Coturnix japonica: one gene and its partner. The protein of the gene in region 2 binds, or shares a complex with, the protein of the main gene of each other region. Links are inferred from orthologs where the notes say so. Each region holds a gene or a part of one and is shown on either strand. Other genes may lie near its edges. The genes, in order: LAMTOR2 and FNIP1.

Evidence for each region.
Region 1: FNIP1 (region 2) and LAMTOR2 share a complex: the UniProt entries of both Homo sapiens proteins name them as parts of the lysosomal folliculin complex. The link is inferred for Coturnix japonica from reciprocal best matches to the Homo sapiens genes FNIP1 and LAMTOR2.

The regions. Positions count from the first base shown.
Region 1 is NC_029540.1:79,157-82,823, reverse strand, and holds LAMTOR2 (ragulator complex protein LAMTOR2), read right to left. Parts: upstream 1,984-3,667; 5' UTR 1,860-1,983; coding exon 1,792-1,859; intron 1,678-1,791; coding exon 1,515-1,677; intron 1,123-1,514; coding exon 1,033-1,122; intron 795-1,032; coding exon 738-794; 3' UTR 596-737; downstream 1-595. Other genes in the region: RAB25 (ras-related protein Rab-25), read right to left, coding at 21-60; UBQLN4 (ubiquilin-4), read left to right, coding at 2,088-2,231. UniProt on the Homo sapiens protein: As part of the Ragulator complex it is involved in amino acid sensing and activation of mTORC1, a signaling complex promoting cell growth in response to growth factors, energy levels, and amino acids.
Region 2 is NC_029528.1:1,524,688-1,529,215, reverse strand, and holds the start of FNIP1 (folliculin-interacting protein 1), read right to left. Parts: upstream 2,930-4,528; 5' UTR 2,913-2,929; coding exon 2,719-2,912; intron 1-2,718. UniProt on the Homo sapiens protein: Binding partner of the GTPase-activating protein FLCN: involved in the cellular response to amino acid availability by regulating the non-canonical mTORC1 signaling cascade controlling the MiT/TFE factors TFEB and TFE3.

The DNA of each region.
Region 1 (3,667 bases), on a different chromosome or scaffold from region 2:
TCCTTCTGGGCCCCCCTCACCTTTAAAAACAAAGTTGTAGTCGTCCTCAGTGCTGCTCATATCTCCCGGCTGCCGCCCGGTTTCCTCCTTCCCTCCGCAGAGCTCAGAGCGGGGCGGGCTGCAGGGGGTGGTGAGGGGGGCAAAGTCTCCTCTGTGTCGGGGTGTGAGGGGGGTCCCAGCAGTGAGGGGGGTCCCAGGAGGGAGCGCGGTCGGGGAGTGAAGGCGACGCGGGCGGCGCAGGGAGGCCCAGGGCGGCTGAGTGCAGGCTGGGAGCGGCAGCGCAGGTTGGGCAGGTAATGTCACCCCTGGAACCGTCACGGGGCACCTGGAGGAGGAGCCGGGCCCGGTCCTGGCTGCCAAGGCCACGCGGCGCGGGGCAGCCTGGGGCACTGGGGCCCTGGGCTCAGCATGGAGCTGGCCGGGCACCAACGGCCGCCTGCACCTCTGCTGCCAGCACAGAGAGATGGGAACGTGGGGGAAGCAGCCCCAGCAGGGACAGCACAACGCTCCCAGCTGCACCACAGACCCCTGGCTGGGTGCACGGCTGACCCCGTCCCACCCTTCCACCCTGCACTGATCTGACAGACACTCAGGACACGAGCACCACACGTGGCTTTATTTCCCCTCCCCTGCTGCCCAGCAGCACAGCCGGGCTCACAACACGGTTCCCCCCGTGCAGGCGCTGCTCTCAGCCGTGGCAGCGCGGTTCCATGCTCAGGATGCAGCTCAGATGCAGCTCAGGATGCGGCCACCTGCGTCAGCGGCTCCTCCAGGTATTGCACCAGCGCCTGTGCCTGGGGCAGGGATGGTGGTGAGGGGTGCAGCCCCCAGCGCCCACATTCTGTGGGCAAACCCCCGTCCCACCCCAGCACCAATCTGGGACCCACGCAGACAGTTCCCATTTTGATTGCAATTCCTCCCCCATCTCTCCCATCCTCTTCCTCCCGGCTTTAACCCCGTGGCTCTTTCACACCTCACCGTAATGCAGCCCCCCACCCCCTCACCCCCATCCCCTCACCCCCATCCCCTCACCTTGGCTTTCAGCATCCCAAATCCCACCGTCTCCTTGGCGTACATGCACAGCAGGAGGTTCGCCACGCGGGTGATGGCCACGCGCCCCTCCTGCCGGAGAGAACCGGGGTCACACGGAGATTCAGGGGGTCACAGCGGGATTTATGGGGTCACAGTGGGATTTATGGGGTCACAGTGGGATTTATGGGGTCACATTGAGATTTATGGGGTCACATTGGGATTTATGGGGTCACACTGAGATTTATGGGGTCACACTGAGATTTATGGGGTCACACTGAGATTTATGGGGTCACATTGGGATTTATGGGGTCACACTGAGATTTATGGGGTCACATTGAGATTTATGGGGTTCACACGGACCCCTTGGGCTCCCACACAGAAGCTGCTGCTGAACACCTCGGATCCCACTGTGGGTGCTGCTGTGGGTCCCGCACACCGGGGGTCCCGCATGGATCCCGTGGGGTCCCGCAGCCGTTCCGTACCATGCAGTCCATGAGGATGAAGCGCAGGTTGTCCTCGTTGAACGCGTGGTGCCCGTTCTTGTCGTAGGCCACCCAGATGTTGCTGGCGATGGCCGCGGTCACGCGGGCGTCCGTGTCTCCGTATCCCGAGTAGGCCAAGAGCGAGCCCTCATTGTTCAGCAGCCTGCAACGGAGCGGGGAACGGTCAGCTCCGGGCCGAGCCCCGCCGTGACGGTACGGTCACATCACACCGCAATGACCGTACGGTCGCACCGCCCCCGGCCCCGTCCCCGCTCACAACGTGCTCTGGACGCCGCCGGTGTTGGCCTGGCTCAGCACCTGCGTCAGCGCTTTGGGCCGCAGCATGGCAGGCAGCGCGGGGCGCGGGGCCCGTTCCCGGTGTAGGCCGCCCCCGTTCGGTGTTTGCTGCCGTTCGGTTCCGTTCGGGGCGGTTCCGCGCTCCGTTCCGGTTCCGGTTCCGTCGCCTCTCGATCCTCCCCGCCGCCAGGGGGCGCTGTGCTGCGGCGCGGGCCGTGGCGGCGCTCTGTCCCGGCCTTTCTCTGTCGGCCAGGGCTGGCGGGGCGGGCGGCGAAGATGGCGGAGCCGAGTGGCGGCGGCGGGCCGGGCCCCGGCGGGTCGGAGCTGGGAGGTCCCGGCGGGGCGCTCATCCGCGTCACGGTGAAGACCCCCAAGGACAAGGAGGAGATCGTCATCGCCGACGGCGCCTCCGTGCGCGAGGTGGGGACGGGACGGAGGACGGGGCCTAGGCCTGAGCGCTGCGAGGGGCCGCGGGAGACACGGGCCGCGAGACCGAGGAGGGTGCGGAGCGGGAAGGTGGCGGGAGGGGTTGGGCGAGAATTGGAGGGAGGAACCTCGGGGGTGTGAGGAGCCGGGGGGGGGAAGGTTGTGAGGGGCGGGAGCGGAGCTGGGCTGAGCGGAGCTGGGGCCTCCCCGGCCATGGGGGGCGTGGGGCCGGGGTTGGGCTGCAGCGGAGTGACGGCGTGTGTTGTGCGGGAGCCGAGGGGCTGGAACCCGCCGGGGGGCGAGAACGGGGCGTTGTCGGGGCGGTGCGGGAGGGGGGGGCGGGATGTGCCGGTGGGAACGGGAAGGGGGGGCCGGGAGGGGTCTGCGGGCTGGGGGGGGTGTGAGGGGCACGGCCCGGGGGTTGTGCTGCTGGTAGTGGGGGTGTTGTGGGACAGCGGGGAGGCGCTGCGTGGGGCGGCTGGGCCTGGAGGGATCAGGGATCTTCTCCCTTAGGGCCCGGAGATGCCTCAGGTCAGGGCACATGGGGGCGCGGCTCCGGGGCTGGCAGGAGCTGCTGGAAGAGCAGCGGGAGCTGCAGCTTGGGGAGCTGAGAGGCAGCGGGTGGGTGCTGTGATGGGACGCGGCCCTGGGGCTGGGCTGCGGGGAGCTGTGGGGCAGTGGATGTGTGCGGTGGGGCTGAGGCCAGAGGCTGCTCTGTCCGTCCTTCTCAGACCTTTCATTTCTGCCTTTGGGGCAGAGGGAGAGTGAAGCAGAGGGAAGGGGACGTCAGACATGTGGGTTTGCTGTGAGCAGGGAGCTCCACAGGGGCACTGTGTGTTTGCAGGGCAGCAGAGGGTTCACAAGAAGCGTTGTGCAGGTGGCAGTGCCCGCCGGGGCAGAGTGGTGTCAGTGCTGTGGATCTTGGCTGTGTGTGTGTTTTGCTGTGTACTTTGATGTGGGCTTCAGGGCACGAGGTTGCAGCGTGTGCTGGGAGCTGGGCAGGAGCTGTGTGCTGTGCGTGGCCCTGCTGCTTCCCAGCCCTGTGCTGTCAGCGTGCAGAGCAGCGGGTGAAGCTTCACGCCCTGGGTCACTTCAGTGCCAGGGGTCCGTCCTCCCAGGCCCAGTTTTTCGGGAGTTCTGGACCATGGCAGCGAGCTGCCCCAGGAAAGCTGTGATCTTCTGCTCCCAGCCTTTCCATGTGGATTTCCTGAACTCTGTGGCTTCCAAATGCAAAGGTTTCTATTCTCACCTATTGACTCGGGGACGCCCCAGCTGAGCTGGCGGTGACAATCTTATTGGCAGGTGCTGGTCCCTCCCCATCACACAGCAGAGATGTTGGCAGTGGGTGCTGTGGATAGTCACAGGAATAGAAGACCTAGTTTACATCCATTGGCTGATAAAGGACTGTGCCCTTTTCCGCACAGCTCTGT
Region 2 (4,528 bases):
TGCAGCTCAGTGTGAAGGCAGGTAACAGTGCTGCTCTCCCAGCTGCTGTCTCCACGTACATAATCTCATGCCACAAAAATTTCTGCTGCAGACCCTCCATTGGAAATACATGCACATATTTAACAAGAAGTGACATAAGAACAAAGCCATAAAGCTTGAGAGCAATTCACTGAGCTCTGGACTCATCCTACTGAGCGCAGTTTGGAATGCTTTGATTCCACACACACCTGCAGTGCCACATCCCTGGTGATGGTAGGAGCACAGGGCTGGCAAGGTCCTGCTTGGCCTGCCCTGCCTCCTGCCACGAGCAGGCCACCACCAGATGCACAGCATGGCCAAGGATCCTATTTATAGCAGAAGTTACCCTTGGGGAAAATCCACTCACGTGAGTATTATTTGCAGCAGACAGCTGGTACTCGACACCTTAGAGCTTAAGGGTTGTCTCTGCTCTGGAATACATGCAGGTGTTTCTTGTAAACATATTTTACTATAAAAGCATGGAATGTTTTTGCTCTTGCTACAAACACCTGGCTGCACGGGGAGAGTGCAGTCTGAAGATCAGCTCTGCTGACTGTCACCAGTTAAGCTGACAGGTTAAAATACCAATATGTAGTGGATCTTAAAGCTGCTTCTCACATACAGGGGAAAGAAAAACCAAACAAAGTGAGACATCAGCAAATGCTTTGCAGCTGCTGACTTACTGGGCACCTCCCTGGAAGGGGCAGCCTCTCCACACCTGCTTCTGAAGTGCTGCTGCACTCAGCCTCAACGTGTCACATCCCCACCTGAGACAAAAGGATTCTGGGCAGGAGAAAGAAAAGTAATAAGGAAAAGCTTCCAGAGGAAAAGGTAATTTCTGTTATTGTTGAAACAACATAAGCTGAGATCAGTAGAACTTACGCTTTAGTAAACGTTCACAATAAGTCTGAAGGAAAGGCAGAATATGGTCAAAGAGAGGAAAAAAAGCATTAAAATAATCCTAAAACCACTTGCTATACAGATGTCACTGCCATAGAAGCTGGACTTTTCTCTCTCCTTATCAACCCCTAAATATATTAAGTGAATTTATATAATTGTAAGGTATTTTCTACACAGTTTCTCGCTAAGAGGACCAACGAGAAGGCAATCAACAGCAACAGCACGCGGTATACTTGGAAAAGGTTTCCTTACTGAGAATATAAACCAATAGTAACATGAAGTATCCATGAAGATACACTTGTATCACTGAAGGCAATGACACTGATGCCCCGGTACTTACTAGAAGCACAGAAGCAGACAAAAACTGGTTTCCAGGCTCCAAAACCCAGCTATCATAAATAACAGTATTTTGTGTATTCTCCATAAGTTTTGCCCACAACCAACGCGGCCATGTGTAGTGAGGATTAACTCCAGACTTATCCCCAGTTGGAAAGCAAAAGAAGCCACTAGGCAATGTGCCTACAGGCCATTGAAATCCAGCACTTGGCTCTTGGAATCACAGCCCCATCCTACACCTCAACCATCAGCACCAAGTGAACAACTGCGCATCTACCAGCAGCTGACGGTTCCCATGACACGGTGAAGCAGCACTACGTGAGTGGAGGAGGGCAGAGCAGACAGCGTGACATATCTTCAACGTCCACATGCAGTTTGGCACGCTGTGAGTTGAGAAGGAAGAAGAGGCATCTCCCAGCAGAGCTTTTGCTTTGTGATCCACATGCTTCTGCCTGGGGTCTGCAGCCCTGGTGTCCCTTCCCCAGCAAGGAGCCTGACCTCAGAAATAAGCTAAGTTAGAGAATCAGATGATACGGACATCGTTAAAAAGCTTTGTCTCCTAAAGTACGTATATTTTAAAGGAGCCACTACCACAGCCAGGAGAGAGAGGAGAGCAGCATCTCCAGAAGGCAGCTCTATGAGTTGCAGCACCAGCCTTCAGGTGCTGCCCAAGCTGCGTGCTGACCACACAAGGGCTCTGTGACCACCGCGATGCTCCGACAACAGCACAAGCACCACGAGCCGCCCGAAGCAGCGGGTGCAGGAATCACATCCCCACGTGCACTCAGGTGTCCCCTTCCCGGTGGGGCTGTCAGGGCAGCAGATGGGAGCAGCGCCTCGCACAACGTTCGGTCCACACTCAAACTGCAAACTTTGCACTTTAAAACTATTTCTCAGGGCCACCTTCTGTCCCTCCAGCCAAGAGGGGGCTGCGTGGCTTCCCAGTGCGGGGTGCTCTATTTTAAAGCCCAGAAACCGAGTCGTTCCCACACGACGGCCCCGAACGGAGCTCCGGGTGGATCCCACCGCCCCTCCTCAGCCCCACTGCTGCGACCGAGGACCCAGCGCCGTCGCGGTGAGATCGTGACAGATTTCACCAGTAACCCTACACCTCTCTTGGCAGCGACTTAACGTTTTCTCCTCCTTTTTCTTCACGTTTTTAAGGTCGCTCCCTCCCGGCTCGCAGCCCCGTGACGAGCGGCATGGCGCCGGCCTCCCTCACCATCCTCCCCCCTTCCCGGCCCCGAGCATCCCCCGAGGGAACGTCGGGAGCCCCCGCAGGGCCGCCCCGGGGGCCATAAGGAGGGCGGCGGGGCCGGGCCGCCGTGAGGGGCAGAGCCCGGCGGCGGATGGCGGAGGAGCGGCGGGGAAGAGGCGCTGCCCGGCCCCGCACGGCCCCTACGGCGGAGCGGGAGCCCGAGCTCGGGGCGGGGGGGAAGGAGGGCGGCCCCGGCGCCGCGTTACCTGAAGACGCAGTCGTCTCTCGCGTCCCTGGCCGGGGAGCTGAGGCCGTGCTTCTTGTTGAAGAGCTTCTGGAACAGGGTGGGCGGCATCTTGGGGAGCCGCCGCCGCTGCCCCCCGCCGCCGGGCTCCGAGCAGCGCCGTCCCCGCGCCGCGGCTAGTTCCGCCCGCCCGACTCCATTCGGTGTCACAGTCATATGACAAAAATTAGTCACTCGGCGCTGCCAGAAGGGGAGGGCCGGCGGGGCGGGCCCGGCGGGGCGCTGCGTGGGACGCTGAGTGGCTGAGGCCCCACGTGGGCAGGGCGAGGGGGAAGCGGAGCCCGCAGCCCCCGGGTGGGGAGCGGAGAGAGGGGCCGGGGAGCGGCGGAGCGGGGCGGAGCGGGGCCGGGCTCCTCCTGCTGCACGGGAAAGGCCACGAGGGGCCGAGAGCCCGTGGAACAGCCTCGGTCGGGAAACACCGCCGGGACCCACACCCACCCACCTACCCACCCACCTACCTACCTACCTACCTACCTACCTACCTACCTACCTACCTACCGTACCACTGCCCGTGTGCCCCCGTGCCACGTCGCCCCGCTCCGGAACAGTTCAGGGACGGCGGCCTGTGCCGGTGCTCAGCTGCTCTTTGAGAGAAGTAACTCTATCTTACATCCAACCTGCAGCACTTAAGAAACTTTTCCTTGAAAGTGGAAACAGGTTTCAGTTTGATCTCCTCGGACAGGTCAAGCTTTGGGGTTGGAAATAAAGAACAAACTCATCTCCTCCCACCTTTCATCTCATCCAGGCCTGCTCAGGGTGGGGGGCTCCCCCAGCACAGACAGAAATAGCACTCCAAGCTGGGAGGAAGGAAGGCAGCCACGTGTGCTGTGTGCAGGGGAAGCCATCGTACCCATAAAACATCCATCTGCCAAACGCATTTAGGACATAGTAACCCACACATAACCCACATGTGAATCCAGACCAAACACAAGCCAAAGGGAGCATTTTTTGCAGAAGCATTTATTAGGTTTAAACCAATGGGTCCAGTTAACAGCCTCCTTCACTGTCTCACTTGTTAAGATACAAGACTAGCAGAAAGTGAAAATAATTAGGAACTGATTAAATAGAACTGACTCATCTGCTTTCCCTGGAAAATGGAATTAAACTAAGTCAGCATGTGACATAATGTTACATTAGAAATGCTTTTAAACAAGGATATTTTGTGCATAAGATACACAACCACCTGCAGGATCTCTGGTTTTCATCCGCTAGAAGTTGATGCTTGTAACAGAAAGCAGGAACCAATGTTCAGATGCATCCTTCCCCCTTATTCTGGATGGAGGACACACCTGTGTGCCACAGGCTCACTAAGGAGAGCTCTCTATATCCCTTCACCATGTGAAAGCCTTCAAACTGGGCACATAAATACAGTTTCAGATGAGATCTCCAAGTACAGAATACTATAAAACAGTAGATTTTGCCCAGGAAATACAGCTGAGCTTTCAACAGCTTCACAGTTAACAGCACTGAAGACTGAGCTAACGTCAAGTGGATTCAAAACCAAGTTGTCAGAGCCCATTTAGAGGTGAGTCTGTTCCAAAGCTCCAAAGTTAACAGCATGGGAATCAGGCAAGATTTGTTAACACACCTTAACCAAGAGAGCAGAGGGGAGGATGGATAGGAAGAGAGAAAAGAATGAAATATGTTTCACCACCCATTTTCCTGAAAAACCTCCCCACGGGTTTTTCCACAAATCCTCACACCTGCATGAAAAACATGAATTTCAACTTATCTGCCCATTCAGTATGAGTCGCCTCAGACTCCAAACCCAG